Caenorhabditis elegans: one gene and its partner. The protein of the gene in region 2 interacts with the protein of the main gene of each other region in a pairwise test. Each region holds a gene or a part of one and is shown on either strand. Other genes may lie near its edges. The genes, in order: sup-36 and fbxc-32.

Region 1 (11,597 bases), on a different chromosome or scaffold from region 2:
GGATCAAGCTCGAACACCAATGGTATTTGAGCATCACGCGAATGGAGAAGTAGTCAATTTAATCAGAGAAGCATAAGAAGACATTCTTATTTAATTCAGTATTTGACAATTTCTACGAGTTTCTTATTTTCATGCTTTATTTTAGTCTCTCCGGTTTCATATCAAATTCCCAGAGATTAAGTAATGCATTCCACAAGTGTACCATTGTTTATTACTCATTTCCGTGTTTTTAAAAAAATAAATTTCACAGCTTTTTTATTCGGCATTGTTTCTTTTTCAGCATTGCGGTTTATTCCAATTTAATTCATATGCATCTTTCTTCTCAATCTTTCAGGTTTCCGTATGACTTATTCTACCCACATTTGTGGTATGTAACATGTAGGTTGTAGTGTGACGATAAGACTTCTTATCAAATCACATCAACTAAAGTTTTTTCGTCATTTCAGCCATTTCGATCAGAGTATTTTATTTTAGTCTACCATTTTGAAGTTTGGCATTTCGTGTTGTCCTGAAAGTTATTTTTTTAATATGGTAGATTTCTAATCTCAATTTGAAAACAACTCTTATAAATTCACTAAAACTTCATATTTTCTAAAAAATCCTGTATCTACTCAGCGATTTTTTGCGATATTGTAAAATTTTCTCGATGATTGTTCAAAAAAAAATCTACAGCTGCTTATTGTAATATCCTCAATCCAACCGCAATTCCAACATCAAGATGACCAAAACCTCACTTTTGAATTGTCTAACACTCTGCGTTTATTCACATTTTTACTCTCCCACTCCACTTGCCAATCGCTCAGTTCCAATCATTTTCGTTCACAATCTCAGCGGACACACACGCACACACTGGGAATGTATTCAAACACACAAACAACACAGTTTCGATTGTAGTTTGTGCTGATCATTTTTTCTTTCATTAATTCATCAGACCAGTTGTGTGTTTTTCGAGATTTTTTTTTGTAATGTTGCGAGTTTTTGTCTCTTTGCTTGGATAATTGGGCAAAAAACATGAATTTAAATTCTCTAACCCTAAAAAAGACTTATTTTCGCTTCTTATATGTCTGAATTTTTGTAGTTTTTTTAGACAAAAAAACATTTTTGCCAAAAAACCAAAAAAGACAAGCATATTTCGCACTGGTGACGAGGGTTTGGAAATTACAGTAGTCTCTCAAGGCGCATGCCTTTAACAAAAACTTGTCGTGGCGAGACCATGTACTGTATTTTTTTTGGCAAAATTACTCAATTTTAACTTTTTCCAATTTTCTGGGCCATTTTCAAGGAAAATCACTTTTTTAATGTAATGTGTTCGTTCAAAGGTTTCTATGGAATTCCTACGACAAAATTGGTTGGCAATAATCTTTTTCATTCTCTTTCTTGTCTTCTTTTTCCTACTGCATTTTCTTATATTTCCTTTTTTCAATATATCACCAATTTTTTCCAGTAAGAATGGCATCGGCAGTTGCACCGATTTTCGGTGTACTTGGTAGTTGTATGGGATGTATGGTTTTTGTGGAGAACATCGCAAAGTGAGAAAACCTACAGAATACCCTACAAAATAGCATCTTTCAAAAACACGATTAAAAAAAACCGGTTTTCGGGTACAAAAAATGTGTAGCAAGAATCTGATGAAAGTATTTTGAGGTCAAATAATAAATTTAACAAAATTAAAAATTTAATTTAAAAACTTAAAAATCAAACATAGAAGCGTTAAAAAAATAAATTTACAGACAAGAGCCATCTGCCATGAACCTGATGACATTTTCTACATTTCTCTTCATCTCTACAGTAGGACTCGTCTCAACTTCCAAATTCTTCACAGTTAAAAATCAAATTCCATTAAAGTGAGTTTATTGCTCTTATTTTAGTAAAAATCGTTAATTTTTTCAGAGGTTATTTCAAGACGGTTACCATGTTCTTCATTGTCAATGTTGTCAATAATCAAGCTCTCAATTTCCATGTGCCTGTTCCACTTCATATCATCTTCAGATCGGTGAGCGCCAGGAATTTCGCAGGGGAATTTTTTCAGTTTTTTCTGAAAAAAACCCAAAAAATTAACAAACTATTTCCAAATTTTCGATGAATTTATGACATATGAAAATATGTAATTCGAAACCAAAAATTACAGGTATTTTTTGAAAAATCTTTTTAAAAAATTAAAATGTTCGATTTTCCAAAAAATACACCCTTGGCGGATGATTAGTTTTAGAGGTTTTATAAGCAATTTAAATTATGTAAAATTCATTCAAAACCGGCTAAACCTACTTTTTCAGGGTTCTCTTCTTGCCACATTGATTCTCTCAGTTGTTATGGTTGGTAAAAGTTATTCTGCTCGGAAATACATTTCCGTATTCGCTATTACCATCGGAATTGTCATTTGCACACTTGCCACGTCAACACAAGGAGATTCGGGACTTTCGATGGAAGAAGCATCGAAACATTATAAGGAATGGACGATTGGAATTATTATGCTCACTTTTGCTCTATTGGCTTCAGCTGTTTTAGCAATCTATCAACAACAAATGTACGAGAAGTATGGGAAACATCCAGATGAAGCTATGTTCATTACTGTAAGTAACCTCATTCAAATTCAATAATTTTGACTGAACTTATTTCTAGCATTTGATCTCACTTCCATTCTTCCTCATCATGGGAAGCGACATTGTGTCAGCGGCTACGAAACTTTCTGCCAGTGCTCCACATTCTGTATTCCCATGGCTTCCATCTCTCTGGGTTGATTTGATTGCAAGTTGTCTTCTTCAGTAAGTGAATTTTAGATATTAGCAAATAAATATAATATTTCTTTCAGATACGGATGCATCAAGTACGTCTATCAACTGAACTCTCGTGTTGATTCGCTCACCGTCACGCTGGTTGTTACTCTTCGGAAATTCCTCTCACTTATCGTTTCCATTGTCTATTTCAAGAATCCATTTACACGTAAGATTATTATTGACTTTTTTAATTGTAAAAGTGATTAGAAAGGTTCCTGGTCTCGACACAATCGAAACTTCGCGGTTACCATACCTAAAGCATATTTTTAGAGTTTCGCTCAATTTTTCATAATTTATAATGCAAAAATTAGAACATTTTTCCTGATGGAGATCAATCAAAATATTGAAGAAAAAAAACAGAAAAGTCGTAGAAAATTAGAACACTTGCGGGTACGGTAGCTGGGAAGTTTTGGTCGTTCAGAGACCGGGTACCATATCTTTGTACCAAAATCAAATGTTTTAAAAAACGTTATGTGATTCTTTTGGTCGTAAACTAGGGCTCCATAATCTAATCTGAAAGGAAAAAAAAAGAAATACTAAAAAATCGTCTTTAGAAATCAAAATTCCTCTCTTTTTCAGCTCAACATTGGCTTGGAGCCATTCTTGTCTTTGCTGGAACTCTTGCATTTGCTGATATTTGGGGAAGTCAAACTGCCAACAAGCAAGATGAGAAGAAGAAACAGTAGATAATCACGTTCAATGTACCATGTTTCTCGACGCTTTCCAAATCCCAAAGTTTCACTGATCTGTCATTTTTCCCCGATTGCCGCTAGCTTTTATAGTGCTCATTTCTATTGCATCCTGATTCAAGTATTGTGATATTTTTTCCAAGTTTTTATAAACTATTTCAGAAACTTTAAAATTCAAACAGTGGAAGTAAATATATAGTCAACAAGTTTTATTGCAGTGAAACGAGAATTGAAAGTATTGAGGTTGTATTTAACAAAAAATCATGAAAATTAGCAGAACGAGATCGGAGCAAACTGGGGGAGAATCGGATCTATTGGACATTCTGGAATGCATCTGCTGGTGGATGAACCCATCCATCGGCTTCATCGAAAAAGTGTCCCGGTGCATTACATTCCACACCCATGTACGCAGCGATCTCCTCAACTGATTTGTCTTCCAACTTCTTTCCGATCACAAATCCCAAACATTCCATGAAATCAGTACACTCGAAGAAGTTGGCTAGCTCAATGATTTCTTTGAGCTCATCCAAAGTCTTCTGTCCAGCTTCTTTGTAGTTCTCGACGACTGTCAATTCGTGGATTGTATCATCATTTGGTGGAACATATTTTTGAATATATTCGAAGAGGAAGACACCTGCCTTCTTATTGAACGGAATTGAAAGTGGAGAAGTAACCTTGACGTTATCTTGATTCTCAAAGTCGGGGAACTGCAAAGAATTCGAGATTTAGTTTCGAAAATACTAATTTTGAATTCAGGGCTAACGTACCTCAGACTGAACCGACCGAAGAATCACTGGAACTAGCATAATGATCCCCGTATCACGTAGGGTGACTGGCTCCTCAGAGTCATTGAAGATGAGATTGATCTCGCAGGATGGCATTATTATTGGCTGAAAAAACGAATTTTTGAAAATGAAAGATTTATGAGAATGGAAAACTCCGCGCGGAGAAAGAAACAATTGGTTAAACTAAATATTACAAAAGTCTTATGAATGAATAGAAAGAAAAGATATACCAGCTGCTACGACGCTTTAAACTGTGCTCATTGTCACAATCAATGTGGAACAGTGGGAAGAAAGTCGAAAGATGTGACCTAGAATACATTGGCAAGACGTTAGAGGTAAACATCACTGCCAAGATTGCTATTGTAGGAAGAAAGGGCAATCTATGACCCTTTGTAAATTGGAAGTAGATATATATTGAACAATGTCAGATACACAATAATATCGATCACTTGGCAGTGTTCCAAATTTGCACATGTAGTATTAAAAGCAGAACATCTGGGCTGAATATTCCCATTTAAACGTTTTCAGATTAAAACAAAATTCAACTAGGAGAGCTATCATACATTTGTAAAAGCGTGAGCACTAGCCGAAATCGTCGCGATAATAACTCAGAAAAAAATCATGTGCCTTTAAAACTGAATGTCTCACTTTTTCACGGAAGTATGATGACATTGAAACTTTCAATTTGAAAGGAATAGTAAACATCGTGAGCTACGGTAATTCATCAAAATCCGGAATAACTGGAATAGGGCGAGTACCTCTGAAAATCGTGGCAACCTTGTTTCCGTGGATTTGACGTCGATTTTTTTTATTCAATTCACGGTTGAACTAATCGAGTTGATACTGTAATTTTGCATGAATCGTCCTCAATTACTTTCCTCTCTGTTGATTTTTTTGGCAATTCTGATTTCGAGTTCTTTTTAAGATTTGTGAGCACATTTCGAGAAAATCATTTTATTCATTCCTTAAAATCAATTTGAAAAAGTTCTGATAAGTATTTAATATATTACAAGGAGGTAAAAAGTGAAAGTATTGAGCTTGAATATATTTAACACAAAATCATGGAAATTGGCAGTGGGAGATCAGAGCAAATTACGAGGGGATCGGATCTATTGGACATTCTGGAAAGCGTCTGCTGGTGGATGAATCCATCCGTCTTCCTCTGCGAAGAAGTTTCCTGGTGGATTGCATTCGACTCCCATGAAAGCGGCGATCTCTTCGATGGTCTTGTCCTCCAACTTCTTTGCAATCGCAAATCCGATGCACTCCATGTAAGTGGTACACTCCCAGAAGTTGGCGAGTTCAATGATTTCTTTGAGCTCATCCAAGGTCTTCGGTCCAGCTTCTGGGTAACTTTGTTCAACAGTGATCTCATGGACATTGTCATCGGTTGGTGCAGCGTAGCGAGCGATGGTATCGAAGAGGAATACTCCAGCATCCTTCTTGAATGGAACCCTGAATGGAGCTTCAATCACCGCATTCTCCTCGGTCGCGAAATCCGGATACTGAAAAAAACGTTTATTTTTAAATCTATATTTCTCAAAAAAAAAAATCTGATATCTTACCTGGAGCTCAACAGCGCGACGGATGACTGGAAGAAGCAGGATAATGCGAGTTTCACGAACAGTGACTGACTCGTCAGAGTCGTTGAAGTCGAATTTGATCTCGCAAGATGGCATTGTTAACGGAAGATGTAGTGCAAGTTCTGAAATGATTTCGGTTAGGAAATTGTTTTTTATTGCAAGAGAATGAGGAAGAGTATTTACAAAATCAATGTTATAATTCTAGTAAATGGTAGAATGAATGTCAGAGGAATTCCAAAGATAAGCAAGAGAAAAGAAGAATATGATGAATGACTGAATAAATGCAAAAGAATGAAACTCTATGAGTATTGCGCGACGCGCTCTTTTACAAGTATAGAGAAGAAGACGGAGGGTGTGAGAGATACAACATATGACGAGGAAACATTGATTTCGAAATAGAAGGAGGTGTGCTACGCAGGATGAGTGGAGTTTATTGTTTTCCGATCGATACTGCAACCAATACATTTGGAACTTGGAACAGTGGAATTTGAACTTTCCCGATATTTCGAGTGTAGTGTAACAAGTGGATTGGAAAAACAGTGGCTGAGAAAACGGTTATTATTGTGCGATAAAAATGTTATTGCGAATGGAGCAATGAACACTTTGGAAGATAGACAACGGTAGATTTTTAATATTCTGGAAGGAGTAGTAAAAAGTTCTTTTAATTATTCGGATAAGTCTCGAGAGGGAATTCACATTCATGTAAAAATGTTTTTTCTTGAATTGGGAAACTAGAGTACTTTCAATAGATGAAGTTATTCGTAGAAATAAGAGAAAATAGTCATATTTGAAAGATCCCAAAGATCGAAATGAAAAAAAAACTTATTTTTCAGTGGAATAGAAAAAATGCGGGAATACAACCAAATAATTCAATAAAACAAGAGTTTTGTCTCATTGAGCATCAATCCATTCAAAATGCATTCATAAATTTATTAATACAATTAAAAAACTGAAAAATAATGAGAAAATTCGAAGAACACATAAACTTGTGGAAAATCAACAAATTATTTGATTGTCCGAGAGTACACGATGGTCGCTCATTTGCGCGCGGAATTCAAATTAAATAGACGCAGAGATTTTGGCGCTTCAGGGGTTCATAGCGCTTTAAAGCGTTGAGATTTTTGAAAAAAGCATGGTCATTTTAAATATGTAAAACTTTTGTTTATGTAAATACATGTAAAAGTTTTACATTTGCGTAAAGAGCGTTACTGTAAGGTTACTGTAAGCTTAGTAATTTTTCAGGAAACTTTTGAAAGATGTGAGTACAAAAAAATTCCCCATAAAATCTTTATTCAAACTCGGCAGTACTCTTAATTAGACTCTTCCATCAACTTATTCTCAATCCATGGAAGTCCGCCCTTACTTGCAGAAAGGAGAACTGGAGTCGATATGGCGATCACCATAACAATCAGGAACAAAAGAGTCGCCACGTGGCAAACGTCACACGAGTTTGGTCTGTGCTTGATCGAAACTACATCATGGTGGGTGCTCTCCATATTGCTCTGAATTTATATAATATTGATGTAAGCAAAGAGGAGTTACTTTCAATTAAAAAAAAAGGCTTTTTTGAAGATTCTTGTTTTGAAGAATTTAACAAAATTACAGAAACTTCTGGGACTTTTCTGTTAACCAATACTCATGTCATACTATTCTTTTCAGTATTTTCTCAACAAGAAAAGCTAGATCGCTAAAAAAAGCCAAAATCATTAAAAAACCAACCACTTCATACTCTGAGGCGTTTGTCCTTTTTCGATGTTTTCCGGCTCTGGTCGTCTCCGCCGCACTTGATCCAGAATCTTCATCCTTTTTAACCTTTGGAGTGACTGCGAGTGGCGATGGAGGAACCATCGTGGGCATCGGTGATGCAAGAGGAGGCACCGAATAGACGGGACCAATTACTTCGTATCCATCGTCTGCCATTCTTTTTTGATAGACACTTTTACAAATTCTGAAATAATTATGTGGTTAAGTTCTAAAATTCTGCTTGAGAAGCCCGGAACTTACCTTTAAAATTTTCGTTATATATGAATTTTAATTGATAAATATCATACAAAGATAGGAATATTGATTTTTTATTATATATGTTCAAAAAACAACATTTCGGCTTTTAGAACATTTAAGGTTGTTACGTTGAAAAAATATTTTGTAGTATTTTTAACCACATTTTTTAATTAAAAATTTTGTGTTAAGATTTTTTGTTTTTAAGTGTTTATTGCTGTGGAATAATTTTAGGGCTTCACAAATAAAGTCAGATAATTTATTTTGACATTTCAAATAGTTCTTATTGTGCATATATTTCAAATGAGAGATCATTGATTATTTGTCAATTTCTGAGTTGGAGCAGAAGATGGTGCTTGTTGTCCCTGAATTTATAGATATTTAAATATTGAATGCTAACTGATATCTTATTACCTTATTAGATCCCCATCCATAATATGCAGTTGGATAAGCAGCAGCTCCATAAGCATAAGCATATGGATAAGCAGAAGCAACTGGAGATGAAGCATAATAATATGGAGATGATACAACAGGAGTATATAAAACTTGACACGATGAAATACAGAAAAGGGCAAAAATCATGACAATTGTGGATTTTTGGAACATTTTTAGATTTTTCAGGTGAGACTCGGAAGTGATTGGAAAATTGAAAAGTTACCGCTTATATAACGTTACCGCTTTATATAGACGACGTTACCGCTTTATATAGACGACGTTACCGCTTTATATAGACGACGTTACCGCTTTATATAGACGACGAGTTTTATGTGAATCACACATACGATAAAATACTTCGAATGATGTTTGCTTAAAAAGGTATGGACTGTCATTTCAGGCACACCTTGAACTCTCTGACTAACTGTTTGGTATAGACGAATTATTGGAGATGGGGAATTGGAACACAATTATATTAACTATGAAACCGTATTAAAATTACCGTTATTAAATATTCCTGAATTACTTCATTTCTTAAAGATTTACTCTGTTATACATAATTAGCATTAAAAAAAACGAATGTGAGTTCAATCTTTGAGAACAGCTATGAAATTCACCTAAACCTCAAAAATCCTCGGACATGGTCCAAATGAAATGTGTTTCAAACTCCAGATTCATTTTTTGCATGCTGCTTTTTGAACTCTATAGAAAAACCTTCTTGATAATCAAACCATACGGTAAAGACACATTAAAAATAAATAACATTAACACAACTAAAATGGAAACAGTTTATTCGGTGGTTCATATAGTACACATATTCCAAAATGAAATATCTCTTTACTGATTATTTGTCAATTTCTGTGTTGGAGCAGAAGATGGAGCTTGTTGTCCCTGAATTTATAGATATTTAGATATTGAATGCTAACTGATATCTTATTACCTTATTAGATCCCCATCCATAATATGCGGTTGGATAAGCAGCAGCTCCATAAGCATAAGCATATGGATAAGCAGAAGCAACTGGAGATGAAGCATAATAATATGGAGATGATACAACTTCAGGAGTATATAAAACTTGACACGATGAAATACAGAAAAGGGCAAAAATCATGACAATTGTGGTTTTTTGGAACATTCTTAGATTTTTCAGGTGAGACTCGGAAGTGATTTGGAAATTGAAAAGTTACCGTTTATATACGATTGATGCATGTTTGCATAGACTCTTTGCTTAACAAACTTACTCTTGACACTTTTTGGATTAAAGATGCTATGAGACTAGGCCGTGAAGAACCAGAGAATCGACCATCCAGTAGCAAATATTCCCAAAAATAATTTAATATATGTAATTTGAAATCCAGGAAAAGTTTCAATCTAATTAAAAATATTGTTTGAACAAAAGTTTTAAGGTTATTTAGGTAGGAAAATTCCCTTTTCTGAATCTTAAAAGATCGACTACTCTTGCTTTCAATTTGGGTAATTCATCAAAATGCTGTAGTGAACAAGTCGATTTTTTTCAATTCTCATTTTCTTATCAGCGATCTTTGAACAATGACATGATCAATTCCAAAATGAGAAACAGTGTTCCGAAAGGAAAAGTGAGTTGCTTTTTGTGATGAGCATTTGTGAACTTTTGGATTTAAGTTGAATCGAAGTAGGTTTTGAACACATAGGCATACAGTTAGGCAGATATGTTGGTAAGCACGTAGGCAGGCATGAGGCAGGCACCTGCAAAATGGAAGATACCACTTTGATTTCTCTGGTCCTGTTTTACGCAACGATCCTAGAACGGACGGCAGGCTTAGCAGTTTTTTTTAATGAAAAAGTTCTAAAAACGTTTGGTATTGGCACATATAAATAAAACTTGTATTTAAAAATATAAACATATAATAAATATTTAAAAGTTCATAACGTGTTTCTTTTTGCTAATTAAATAAATCTATCTAATGCCACGTTATTTTGATTCAAAAATTATTTCCAAATTGATTCATTTCACCTTTGAATCGTAATCGATCATAGTGCAAAATGGAGAAAAGTGAGTTTTTAAATACGTATGCATAAGACCTGAATGATATCTTCAGAAACAAATTGCATTCAAAATGAAGAGCAAAAGAAGGAAAAGGAACTTATTGCTGAAAAAGCAGCAAAGGCTGGATTTGTCAACCGACTTTATGTGAACATCGGACAAAAAGTTGGAGTTGTCGAGCTGACTAAGTTAGAGCCACGTTTTGAGGTACTGAATTGAATTGAACTCATTACTAAATGTCTCTGTTGGCGACAACAGTGTATGTTTAGTAGTCTGTATATTCAGTAGTAGCCAATCAAAGGAGGTCGTGCCTCGCGAACGACCGTTCTAAAACACTTTTGAATCATTATAATCCATTTTCAGAGGAACATCGATAAGCTCACCTCCTACCACAACTTAATCTACAAAATTGTGAATGTAATCGAACTTCAAGTTCAATTCATGCCCAAGGCAATGGCAAAGAAAGCAGTTTTGTGTGCTCCCGGCGAGAATCCATGGGAAGTTCTTGGAGGATGGTTGAATTATTTGGGAAAAAATCAGTTTGATGGGCAACATTCTGTAAGTCGTAATATTTGAAACATTTCAAATAATAATTCTTCAGAAAATGCTGGAAAAATACAGTAGCGCCTGTGGAAGAATTGCTCAAAAGGAGATCCAGGTGCAGAAAAGAAGTGAGCATTTCAAATAATTCAAACACAAACATCTAAAATAATACACATTTTCAGCTCGTTCTCATCTGATTAAAAAGATGCGTTTGTACACTGGAGAGGAAAGTGAGATATTGAATTCGAACGTAGAAAATTTGAATAACTTGCTCCATGCAATCGATGATTCTCGTCACCATGTAAGTGTTTTTTTCGGATAATACGTGGATCAAGTAACAATTTTCAGGTGAAGTCTTCAAAAACCACGAAAGAGGTGAAAGCAAAAGGCGAAACGTATCGTAAAGCCATCAATGCTTTCAACGAAACGGCAAATGAAGTTCAAGCATTGATTGACGAAGTTGCAATGGTTGTCCCACTTCACGAAAATGAATTTCTGAAGGTATGATATCTACCAGAGATGCGAAGTCAAATAACATATTTTACCAGTTTTCACGTGAAGCTTCGGTTTACCACGACACTGTACACAATTCTCTGAGCGAAGTGATCTTCCGTCTTGGTTATCATGTCAAGAAGCATTGAGACCTCCGAGTTTTTTTAGAAATCTTTCTGTGAAATAAAGAAATCACCGCTTTGAAAAATATGTTCACAAATATTGTGTAAAAACAATATGTCAATGTTTTTTTTTGAGAAAAGATCTCGAGAGCA
Region 2 (12,341 bases):
GCTCAGATATTTACATTCGGGCCCTAGTTTTGTTATGTGATATAAGCTGTGAGCTCGACAAGTTCGGCATGCTCCGACGGTTGCCAATTGCTTCATGTGGTGTCAGGCTGTCCCATAGCAGCTTGATCTACAAAAAATGCGGGAATTTTCTCCCAGAAAAATGTGACGTCAGCACGCTCTTAACCATGCAAAATTGGTTGAGATGTCTGTGACTCAACTCCCGCATTTTTCGAAGATCAAACCGACATGGGACATTCTGACATCACGTGTTGCTTGCCGCTCCCCCCGACCCCCATGTTATGCAAATTATAGACCCCTCTCCGCCTTCTTTTCTAATAATAACTCTGCCAAGCGGAGGGGGGCTAGGACTCCCCTCCTCCTGGACACATGTGGTTCATGTGATTCTTATAAGGGCAGGTAAGATGAGAGGGCTGGAAACGCAGACAGAGAAGACGTGCATGTACTATTGATTTCGGCTAGGAGGGTACGGCATTTCGCAATGCAACTCGGCAAAACGGCCTAACTTCATAGCATACTCTTGCAACTTCTTATCAACAATTAGGCATTTTAGCTTTTAAGCAAACTTTTGCAGCTTTTCAGACGACTTTTGCAATTTCTTAGCAGATGTATAGCTAAATTTCGCTCACAATCCCGGTGGTTTTAGCAACTTCTTAACAGCTTTTTACAAAGTTATATAAATGTTTTTATTAAGTTGCAGGACTTTGCTATGAAGTTGCGACGTTTTGCCGAAAATGTTTTTTTTGCAAATAATTTAGCTTACAGCTTAAACCATGGCAGCAGCACCCGAGCAAATATCCTATGACAGTACACGGCATGTTATTCAGTATATGAAGCCGGATTTGAGGTAGTGCTTTTTTTGGATATTTCATGTTTTTGAACCAGTGCAATAGATAGTTGTTAAACAGCGGCCGATATTTTCGGGGGTTCCGCCGGCTTCACGCCACTACCCATCAATGACCTCTGCCTTGCGGAACCCCGAAAGTGTCGGCCGCTGCCAAACAACTACCTATCGCACTGGGTATTTCACTACGGGGTTGGGGCTAGCTAATTGATTCAACTCTGATAAAAGGGCTTCAGCCCCCGGAGACTTACGTTTGCAAGCCTAATCCTACTAAATGTTTCACTTTCAGATTCCGCCTGTCGCTTACTGTCCATCCCTCCGCGCTGCCGAAAAATCAGTTCCCCTTCACATCAAGCACCTCAGAATTACACCTCATACAATTCAAATCAACAAAACAAGACTTCAACTAGCTATTGGTCAAAAGGGACCAGACAATGAGCCAACTTCATATGATATTGATCAGCATGGCGAGAAGGATCTCGGAAAAATAAGACCAGCTTCTGACGATGAGATCTTAATTGATGGAAGACGTCACGAACTTACCGAGGAGGAGAAAGCAGCCAATAGGCCATTCGAAGTGGCAGCTATTCGTGAGAATTTTCGTCTCTTTGCGTTCATGGCCGATATGGTTGAAACAGACGTTGAACCAACTGAAGTACGATTTCCCAACCATTTGGGACAACTCGTTCGGAATTCGAATCAAGAGTTGGAAAGTGTGATTCCAAGTGCAAACTGGCACGTTACGTTCACTCAAGCTCGCCTAGGCATTTTTGAGCCACTAAGCAAAGGCAAAGGCATGGGCAGAAAGCTACAGGAAAAGCTCATTGAGAGGGTAGCATATACTAAGAAGTTGCATGAAATAATGAAGTATCTAGCGGAAAAGCTATTTGGCGGGAAACACCTTAGAATTCAAAAACTGGAAATTGGCTCAAATCCCGGAGTGCTCCGCTTGCCAAACAATATGACGATTTTCACTCGGAATCTAGAACTCTTTGATGAAGACCACGAGTATCTACTAAAAAGTATTCGTCCACTAATGAACCTGAAAAGCTTGCCATTGGCATCGCTGGAACTCCACGGTCCACTTCCACTTGAAAGTGACGTCATAGAAACTTCCAAGAAGCTTCTTCTCAGTGAGATTCTTGATGTGAATTTTGACGTTGAATTCCAAGAAATAAAGAAATTCAAGAATCAAGAAGTAGTGCTGAAATTTGATGAGGCAAGAGCTCACTTTTATGAGTCTTTTGAAGTACCTGCTGGAAGTTGGGAAGCCCCTGGGCAGTTGCTACAGATTTTTTGTTTATCGTGAGGCTGGCGCTAGAGGGCTTGTGAAGAAGATCAAGGACTTGTACTGGGATGATGCAGAGGTTTTTTATGGGTAAGTGGGAACCTTGTTAGGCACTCTTAGACTTACCAATGACAATTGTAGGTATTCATTTAATTTTTTGAACTCTCTGAAACTCCAAGATAACCTATACGATGTTTCTACTAATTTTGTGCAATTTTCGTAAACATTTTACTGTTAGGATTCTAGACCACTTAAGATTACCTCAGGCACTCAGGCACCTGTATAGATATTTTTTGTCTGAATTCAGCTACTCGTAAGCTATATTTTAGTCTAATTCCCGATAGGTGCTCTCAAAAAATTACTCCCGTTTTTTCAGAGCAACCGAGTTTCCGATCACCTTTAATATCCCGATGAAGTACTCCTCATCGAAAAATGAAGTCAGTATTCACTGCGAACTGGATCCGAATCTCCGATTTCATTGGGTATTTTCCATGACAGTTCAGAAGCCGGAAATTATTGACTATTGATTTTTTGTCTCATTTAGTATGTAAATTTTATGTAAAGCTAGTATTTATTTTTTTTCTTATTTATTTCCCAAACTACCTCGAATTTTTTGAAAATAAACTTTGCTAGTTTGCTTCGACAGATAATTCAAAGCTCTACCGCTGAACTCAGTATATTGGAAGTGGTGTCAGGTTGTCCCATAACGGTTTGATCTACAAAAAATGCGGGATTTTTTCCCAAAAAATGAGACGTCAGCACGTTTTTAACCAAGCGAAATCAGTTGAGAAGTATGCGTCTAAATTCCCGCATTTTTCGTAGATCACAACTAAATGGGACATTCTGACACCTTATTTATAGAAATTTCGCAATAGCAAAAGGGCTAAGGGGAGCACATTCCCACATGCCTGGCGTAGCTCACGTGCTTCAAGAGGGGACGTCTACATGGGTGGAAACGGAGACAACTCTGCACTATTGATTTTGGAGCAAGTGCACTTTTGTTGCAAGCTTTGGCCCTTATTCTAGCATGTCACCATCCATGTCTTCTGCCAGTTGGAAGTACGTTATAGAGCATTTGGAGCGTAATGTGAGGTGAGTTAGAGCAGCCGACAATTCACTGGTTTAACTTTCGAGATGACCCTTGAAGTGTCAGCCGCTGAAAAACAAAACAAATATTTCCAGATGCCGTCTCTCAGCCTGTTGCCCAAGCCTCTGCCACACTGAAAAATCCATTCCTCTCCACATCAAGCACCTGGTCATAAACCCTGACATAAACCCTGACAACCGTCCACCACCATGCAGGGAAACGTGCTCAAAATTACCTGCAAGATTGGGTTCCGATTGTGATCCCAGAGACCGAATATCACATAAGGCTCACGCGAAATAAGCCCTTCCTCCAGGAGAGGGTAGCCTATACCAAAAAGCTACATGAAGCAATGAAGTACCTAGTTGAAAGGTTGTTTGGAGGGAATCAGCTTAAAGTTCAAAAGTTGGATGTTTCGCAGTGCGTTCAGTGGTATTTTGTATAAGTTAAACTAACAGTACACTTGGTGACTCTACAAGGATTTATTATAGACAACTAGTAACACTAATAGACAAGTAACGCAAGAACATAAAGTAAGAACTGATTCGGGAAGTCCCTCCAAGGTTGGCAATATGGTCCACGTGTCCAAGGTTGAGTTGTTCGTATTGGCGTGGCAAGTTCATGGCGTGAATGTTGTTGTTGTTAGATTATCTTGTTCCTTGTATGCATCCATCCGGGGTTCACGTCGCAAATGGTTCACGTGGTTGTTCTTTGTTAGCACTGACTGTTGGTTGTTCCTTGAGCGATGGTGATAGAAATGCTCGGTGTTGTTAGCGTCCATTGTAGAGTACATAATTATACAATAATTATAGAATAATTATTAAGTCGTGAATAATGGAGATCCTGCTCCATGCTATTCGCGACATTGGAAGTTTGTTCCGAGTCTGGAGTGCTCTGCTTGCCAAGGAGCCTAACAATTTGCAGCCGGAACTTGGAATTATTGGATCAGAAGGCGGAATCGTTTTGGAGCAAGTTCCGAGTACTCCTTGATCCCAAAAGCATTCCATTCAAATCCCTGGAGCTCAATGGCTCGATTTCTATAGACGATAACGTCATTCAATCTTCTGAGCTCCTTATTCACAATGGAAGACTTGATGAGAATATTGACCTAGAATTCGAAAAACTATTGAAGCTCGCGAATCAACAAGTCGAGCTGACCACGGTTTATGGATCTCCCAATATGGTTGAACTTTAAAGTTCGAAACCTGTCTCTAGCAAGTTGCTATGACAGCTTTGATCTATATATTGAAGTAGTCCGAAATATCCTCAACCCTTCAAGTTTGGACGACTCAGAGTTTCAGCACCCGGATATTCATTCCGCTCGGCGGTTGATTGTCATACAGAGGCCATATTCAAATTGTCTAAATATAGCTAAAACTATCAGCTCTTTTCCAAATGTTCATATTTATAATGGAGATAGGTTTGATATAAGGTATTGGATTAGGCTTGTGGGAATATTGTTGGCACATACGCCGCCTGTTGGGTCACGTCATTCGCTGCAATTTGACACGAAGAGTGAGGTGAAGGAGATGATTAAGGAGTTGAAGAAGGATCCTAAAGCGAGAAGAGTAAGGTAAGTTATTTGATTTTCGAACATTATATATGTTGGACAAGGCTCATCCTAAACATGTTCCTAAGTCAGGCCTAGGTCTGATCAAATCCTGCCCGAAGTTTAACTAAGATCAGACTACAGTTCAGCTGATGAGGCCTGACTAACTTTCAGAACAATAAAAACTGTGTAAAAAATGTCAGTACAACATGCTAAATGCTGAAAATTTTAATTTCCAGCCACAAGAAATCCTACGTCATCTTCCCTATCGACTCGAGTGCAGAAGTCTACGTCTTCTATTAGAGGAATAAGGAAACTATTGGAACATGGAATTTGGTTATTACTGTTCGCAAGCCTGATGTGAAAAATTAATAAATTCTCAATTTCCTCATAATAAATCGTTTGCCAATTGAAATATTTTTGAAATTTTTTGATCTACCAATTTTTGATAGGTTTTTTTTGATCTTCTAAAGATGACGTGGCAAAACGCTCGAGTATTCCAATCAATAAATTGTGCCACAGCGTTTAGCATTGCCCCACCAACAGTCATTCTCTTATTAGTTTTCGCTCTGTACTTTTTTATTTTTTCTATACTACTTTCGTTTTTTGTCTGTTTCCATTTTAAGATATTATTTTTAAATCCAATTTCCAGCTAGAAAATAATGGCGTACTCATTGCCGCTCACCTATCCAAGTCTCAAATGTGTCATCAAGCATATGGAGGTTAATTCGAGGTATGTTTTATTTTCCTTTAGTTAAATTGATATATTTTAATACAAAATACCCAAGTTTTACTCTCAATTGAACAGAAAATAGAAGTTTTTGGGTCATAAATTACCATTCATATTTTTCAACTTTGAGGGCTGATATATCTGTTCTCGTTGGTTTTATCAAAAAAATTTTGACTGACAAAATGTTTCTCATCTATTTCTCTTTAGTTTTGTAGTTGAAAATTTTTTGATATCGTCAAAAGTAACCGAGTTATGAGGTGTCAAAGTGGGCTTGCACTCCACTCAATGTTTTTTTTTTCAGAATCCAACTTTCCCAAAGATGCCCATCAATCCGAAAAGCTGAAAAATCAATCCCATTGAAAATCGGTCACTTGGAACTGGATCAGTGTCGTGTGAAGATCAACAACACAGACTATTCTCTAGCAGTGGTCTGCAATTACTTCTCAAGCCCGTACGATCTCGATGAAGTTGGATCTATGGATCTTGGTGAGGTGATAGATGAGCAACGAGATGTTGTAGTGGATAACCGAAGTCTGGAAGAAGGAGAGAAGCGGATACTCAGAATGGAATACGAGCTAAGAATGCTGACAGATGACTGGGAAAAGAAAAACGCTCTGATCGGGGAGGCACTTAAGAAGGAACTTAAAATGACGACGGAAAAATCGGAGCTAGTGAACCGTAAATGTTACGTCGGAATTATCAAGAGTCTATTTCTGTCTCGCAGAGTGGGTGTTCCTGCGCCAATTTGGGATATTGATTTTGTGAACAAAAATAAACTGATCACCTTCCGCGATGAAAAGCTCTCCTACAACATGAAGCTTCACCAGGCTTTCAAATACCTGATTTTCAAGTTGTTCAGTGGAAGACGGGATGCTATCCAAGTGAAAAAGCTTTCAATCGAGAATAAAGGGATCCTTAGAGTTCCAGCAAGCCTCAACTTGAAGGTGACCCATTTGGAAATCCTGGGCTCCGGTGTGGATAAAATCGCAATTTCCTTTCAACCACTGCTAGAAGGATCCAGCCTGCAATCCATCAAACTGAACAATGACTTCAACATCGAAAATCCTATACTCCAAACCTCCCCACTCCTGATCTTCAAGAACCCAAATGAAAACCTGTTCCGAGCCAGATCAGCATTCACCAATGTTCGAGTAGAGCTGGAAAAGTCGACCATCTTCCCACGAGAAGCTTTGGACCTTATTGCGAATTGGTTGAGACATGGGAAGGAAGTCGGGACGATTTGGAATTTTTCACTGACCGAGGTTACAGCGCTAGTGTGTTTCAAGGATATCCGGAAGCTGCCTGGCGCAAAGTATGCAGGACATAAAACGTAAGTTGGGTTACTGTAGAAGGGTACTGTACTGCATTTATTAAAATGCAAGTACAGAAGATATGTATGTCAAAAAATAATTTTGTTTCAGAAGCTCTCAACTCGGACGTAGTGTTCTCATCCCTATCAACGCATTTTCGGAAATTCACATCTTTGACGAGAAGGAAGAAGCACAAGACGGAAACGACTGGAGTTTGAAGATCACAGTTCGGAGGAAATTGTGAATTTCGTCGTATTGTAAAATTATTGTAAATTGTCGTAAATTTTTTATAGTTTTGATATTAAACGTTTTATTTTTTTGCAGTGGAATGTATCTTGTGAATATGGTTACTGTAGCGTAGAGCTCCCAGCTGAGTGAAGTGCAAAAAATATATTTGGAGCGGCCGACACGTTCGGGGTTCAGCAGCTTGGCGTAAAATGAGTAGATTGGTGTGTGCGCAACGTACTGCGAAAATGTAGTTATTTGGAGAGGCTGCCACATTCGGGGCTCCACGCCGCATTATACATTCGGATACATGCGGCGACCTCGAGGGAGCCCTACTGTAGGGTTACTGTAGCGGTTCTACTACTTTGTTGTTCTGGAATGTTTTGCCTAAAACTTCTATTATATACATAGATAAGGTAAAACTTGAATGATCATTCATTTTCGTAACGGTTAAGAAATATTAGTTCCATAATTAGCTGCCCATGAATAAGTTGCGTAGTTACTTGTGATGCAGTGGAACACCACTTTTAACACATTTGTAGTAGAGTTATAGATCTTATTGCTATAAATGTCAACTATGGCAAATGGCTGAGTTTCATCGATTCCAGAGAAGAGCTGCATATTCTGACCCCAGAAAAGGTGAAGAACTTCGAATTGCAATTGAGCGATCGAGCCTTGAGATTCAGTTATTATGTAGGTGCATGGAGTTGGGTAGCCGGAGGCTTGATCGGGGTAGCCGGGAGAGTAGAACGATCCATTTCCAGTCAAGAACTGAGTTCCATTACACTGTCCTAAAGCAGTTGGTGTCGGCGTGGGCAGATTCTGTGGATGCTTGCAGATGAATGGAATTTTATTATTACAGTTGGTGCTCAACCATTGCCCCTTTGGAATCACACTCCCACTCATTGCCAGGCTTGAACATTTTCCTAGGTTTGGGTTGAAATATCCAAAGTTGGAATAATCAAACGTGCTCCCGTCGACCCAATACTTCCCGACTCCATCAGTTGCTGCTCCGATCCTATACTCTGCTACTCCTGTGGAATTTACCAAGGACTGAAGGAAGAGGTTTTCAGCCTGAGAGTGAATTGACACCAAGTCTCCTGAAACTCTTTGGCAGACTTGTCGGGCATCAGGCTCATCTAGTAGATTTGTGTTGACTGAGTAGCAGAAGCCATTGTACGTATGCTCACAGGAATCTGAAATTCTCAGGGTAATAGCAGCTGACATATTGCGGGTCTTACCTGCCCTGGGCACCTCACAAAAAAAGCTGTAGTAGGAATAATCTCCATCTGAGGATATCCACTTCCCGGCGGAATTTCCGGATGTCAACATGTAAGCACGAGTTCCTACATCGGTATTTGGATTGCCAGGTGCAAAGTTGTTATAGTTGCTAGTTGTTCCAGAGCCATCAGTCCAGGAGCATGAGGAAGCTGACGGATATTGACAGGATAAGCCAAGCCAAATGGGCCGAGTCAGGTTGTTAAGGCCGGAAATGAGCTTGAGAGTGAAATCGTCCTAAAATAGACAAAATCTAAAAAAAAAACTCAGGCCCACAAAAAGCTCACTTGTGCTTCTAGAACTGAAACCATGTTGCTTCCTTTACTAAAATTTCCGCACACATAACTTGCATCTTGGTAGAGCATCGGCGTATTGAATAACTGAAACTTGTTTGAAATTCAAGAAATCTTCAAAACTCTCTAGGAAACTCACCTTGAGACAAGTGTTGTCCTTGTAGCTCCAAAACCCCTCAGGACAAGGTACTGAACCATTTGGCGTAGGTGTAGGTGCTCTGGTGGGGGTGCCAGAGGTGCTAGTCACTGTAACTCATACCTATACCTCTCTAGGTTTTCTCTAGGTTCCTAGGTCTTACCGTGAAATGGAACTTCACAAATATACTTCAACTGTGTGTATTGATCTGCAGATACCCATCTTCCAGCTGAACTTCCTGATACCAGCATGTACACGTAATTTCCGACATCCAAATTTGGGTTTCCTGGAATAAAAATTCAGAAGTTCTTTGCTTTCAGCTCTTTCAGCTCTTACCAGCGACAAAATTGCTATAGCTGGAGGTGTCGGAACTATAATCCGTCCAGTTGCAGGGGCTGCTAGTCTCAGTGCAGATCAGGCCGATCCATTTGGGATCCGATGAGGTTACCGAAAAGGCTAGTGCTTTGTTGTCCTGAAAATTATTTAAATTATATTGAGATGCCGAAAAAACAGCCCAACTTACAATAGAATTATGAATTGAGACTAAATTTCCACCGGGAAAACTTTGACAATCGGAGAGTGCATCCATAAAAAGCTTCTTAGTGGTGCTCACCTAAAATTTCAGTTACAATACATAAAAAAGTAGGGCTACTAACCTGGATACATGTGTACCCATTAAGTACAATAAACCCATCAGGGCAACCAGAATAGCTGGGAGTTTGAGTGTTGTAAGGAGCTCTTGAGGTAATTTGGGAGACAGAAAATGTAGCATATATATGCAGTAGACATATTATGAAAATTTTCATTTTGCGATTCCTTTTTGAACCGGCAAATTACTTTTAAGCACATTTTTGAAGAGGTGATAAGCCTCTTAACCACCCTCAATAGGTTGCTGATAAGGATGACATCTATGAACTTGTGTGATGCTGGAAATCAAACTGAAACCCAGTTTTTGATAACGATTCTTTTAAAGAAATGTGAAGTTTGATGCTGGCGGAAGCAACTAATATGAAGAATTGACCCTATGTTGCAAGATTTAGTCATTAGTCTGGTTTTGGGCTTACAGCTTGGTGCTCCTATAGTACTTCTACAATACTCCTACAGTATCCCTAAAACACGTCGAAAAGTGAGCTGGTTCACTTGTATCATGTTATCTGTTATTTTCAGATACTCGAAGTGCGTTGGTGTCGATTTTCTAAGAGCTTGGTTGGAAGGGGAAACGGCGGAGAGTTGGAATCTGGAATTTAGAATAAATTTGAGTGAGAAAAAGAAACCCAGAAACCTATAACTTACCTCAACATAGGATCGAAATGCTTCACAATGCATTTGACGAATTAGGGTCTAAAGCTTATTTTTTCCGGAGGCAAGAATTTTGAGAATTTTGCTGAAACTTACCAAATTCTCCATAAAATAAATTAAAAAGAGTTGTGGGAGTAACTAGGTAAATGATAAAAGTTACAACAGCAACTAGTAGGAATACAGGGCGGCTAGACATGAGGTGTGTAGAAATGAAGTCCTTGCAAAGGTGCGCGAGATCCGATAAAAAGGGCGAATAGGTAGAAAAAGTGTTTAGCTTGAGACCCGATCTTTGTGAGATACGGATAATTTCCCGTTTTGAATAGGAAATGGCATTTGAAAGTGCAAAGTTTGTAGAATTGTCGTAAACTTTCTGATTTATAGGGGATTTCAAAAGCAAGCTTTGTCTTCAAGATTTAAGGAAATTTATTCAACAATAAAAGCAAGGAACGAAAAAAAAACAACCATTAAAACTGTGTCGGTTGAACTTTGAAATAAACTTTGGATCTTTCCATTATGTCATCGTAGAACACGTAGATTTCCGAGAAGTCGTTCATTTTGATCGCAATGCTCAATGGGAAGTGAGATCTGGAAAATTAGCTTTAAGCTACAAGCTATAAACTACAAACTACAAACTACAAACTACAAACTACAAACTACAAACTATAAACTACAAACTATAAACTATAAACTACAAACTACAAATTACATACTACTAATTACTAACTAAATCCTATAAAACTAAAACCTACAAAGTAACCACTGTAAAGATGCACATGGTGCATCGATGGCTTCAAATGCACTGCTAACTACAAACTACAAAATACAAACTACACACTACACATTACAAACTACAAATTACTAATTACACAATACTAACTTCCAACTAAAACCTATAAAACTAAATCCTAACAGAATGACTTGGATGCACATAGTGCATCAATGGCCTCAAATACATTGCTAACTACAAACTAAAAACTACAAATTACAAACTACAAACTACAAACTACAAACTACAAATTAAAAACTACAAACTACAAACTACACACTGCAAACTACACACTACTAACTACTAACTAAAGTCTATAAAACTAACTATAAAATCTTCAACCAACTGTAAAAATTCATTCTGACTGCACATGGTGCATCGGTAGCCTCAAATAAACTGCTAACTACAAACTATAAACTGTAAAAACTCCAGCTAACTGAGACACGAACTACAGATTTTTGTAGTTTGTAGTTTGTAGCTTTCCAAATCAAAAGCTCACCTCCGAACCACCTGGAATCTTTCATCGAACTCTTCTTTAATATCACAGACCATTTTCTTAGCATAATCTCTTCCACGGAATCCTCCGATCGTGAACTCCGTCCCAATTTCCCTTCCATTCTCCAGCCATTCATAAATGAACAGCTTAAAATCCCCAGAAAGGGAAATCGCATGAACTCGGGCGTTTGTGATACGGTGGAAGTGATCACTAGTTGGAACGATCAGAAGTTCGGCGGTAAGGATAATCGGGTGGGCAAAAGCCCAAGTATTGGAAAGACTTAGAGATTTTAGGGGGTAACTTGAGGTATGTAGAATTGTATCCAGGGTGACGCCGGTTTCGATGATGGAAACGTCTAGATTCTTGCAGATCATGTTGAGGTTCTTCGAAAAGATGTAGTGAACTCTGTCAACTGAAATTTGAAGGGTCTCCACTGTAATCGGAACACACCGATCTCCCAGAAGCTTGTCGATTATATATTCCATCGCAAAGTTCATACGTCCATCGTTAGCTGTTGTATTCGTTTCTCTTTCATCAAATACTATCCCGCTAATACCGGATCTTAAGATTTCCACAGTGAAGGGAGAATTTGGAGTTTTCGCGGAAAAAATTGGTCGAAATCCCACGTCGTCGACCTGGAAGCAGTCGAAATCCCAACTAATGAATTTTATATACAGGGGAAGTGAGAGCTCTGTGGTGTGGTAAGATGGGCTCCGCGATGAGAGGCAGAATCTGGAAAATATTACAATTTTTATTGATTTAAGAAATTTTTGTTCAAAAACGCTAAGTATTGGAACAGTTGAGCTCTAGTTCAAAATTTTGTTAAAAATTCAATTTTGCAAAATGAGGGAAGTTTTGTTTTGCATGTTTTTGAATTGGCGTGAGACAGCAAAAAATTCAAAACTTTAAATCAAAAAATGGGCCTTAGCCTTAGCCTGAGCCTGAAACTACGCTTAAGCCTAAGCCTAAGTTTCAGCTTAAGTTTAAGCCTAAGCCTAGGTTTACGCCTACGCCAATTTTATTTC

The links.
Region 1: the proteins of fbxc-32 (region 2) and sup-36 interact in a two-hybrid assay, tested with the Caenorhabditis elegans proteins (one large-scale study listed by BioGRID).

What each region holds. Positions count from the first base shown.
Region 1 is NC_003282.8:6,596,036-6,607,632, reverse strand, and holds sup-36 (SUPpressor), read right to left. Parts: upstream 5,960-11,597; 5' UTR 5,928-5,959; coding exon 5,814-5,927; intron 5,754-5,813; coding exon 5,358-5,753; 3' UTR 5,190-5,357; downstream 1-5,189. Other genes in the region: drh-1 (RNA helicase), read left to right, coding at 1-76; nstp-2 (UDP-xylose and UDP-N-acetylglucosamine transporter), read left to right, coding at 1,450-1,529, 1,731-1,844, 1,891-1,993, 2,274-2,570, 2,620-2,762, 2,810-2,940, 3,354-3,460; F15B10.3 (BTB domain-containing protein), read right to left, coding at 3,775-4,170, 4,231-4,353, 4,897-4,953; F38A5.8 (uncharacterized protein), read right to left, coding at 7,142-7,333, 7,551-7,751; nspb-5 (Nematode Specific Peptide family, group B), read right to left, coding at 8,141-8,194, 8,244-8,435; nspb-4 (Nematode Specific Peptide family, group B), read right to left, coding at 9,102-9,155, 9,205-9,399; F38A5.6 (BAR domain-containing protein), read left to right, coding at 10,287-10,296, 10,343-10,494, 10,651-10,845, 10,889-10,958, 11,013-11,131, 11,179-11,331, 11,379-11,471.
Region 2 is NC_003280.10:941,286-953,626, reverse strand, and holds fbxc-32 (F-box domain-containing protein), read left to right. Parts: upstream 1-5,435; 5' UTR 5,436-5,445; coding exon 5,446-5,516; intron 5,517-5,814; coding exon 5,815-6,843; intron 6,844-6,934; coding exon 6,935-7,067; 3' UTR 7,068-7,142; downstream 7,143-12,341. Other genes in the region: clec-43 (CUB domain-containing protein), read right to left, coding at 7,499-8,244, 8,290-8,563, 8,614-8,706, 8,759-8,865, 8,919-9,041, 9,092-9,227, 9,279-9,368, 9,412-9,561; fbxc-36 (FBA_2 domain-containing protein), read right to left, coding at 10,519-10,639, 11,320-12,048.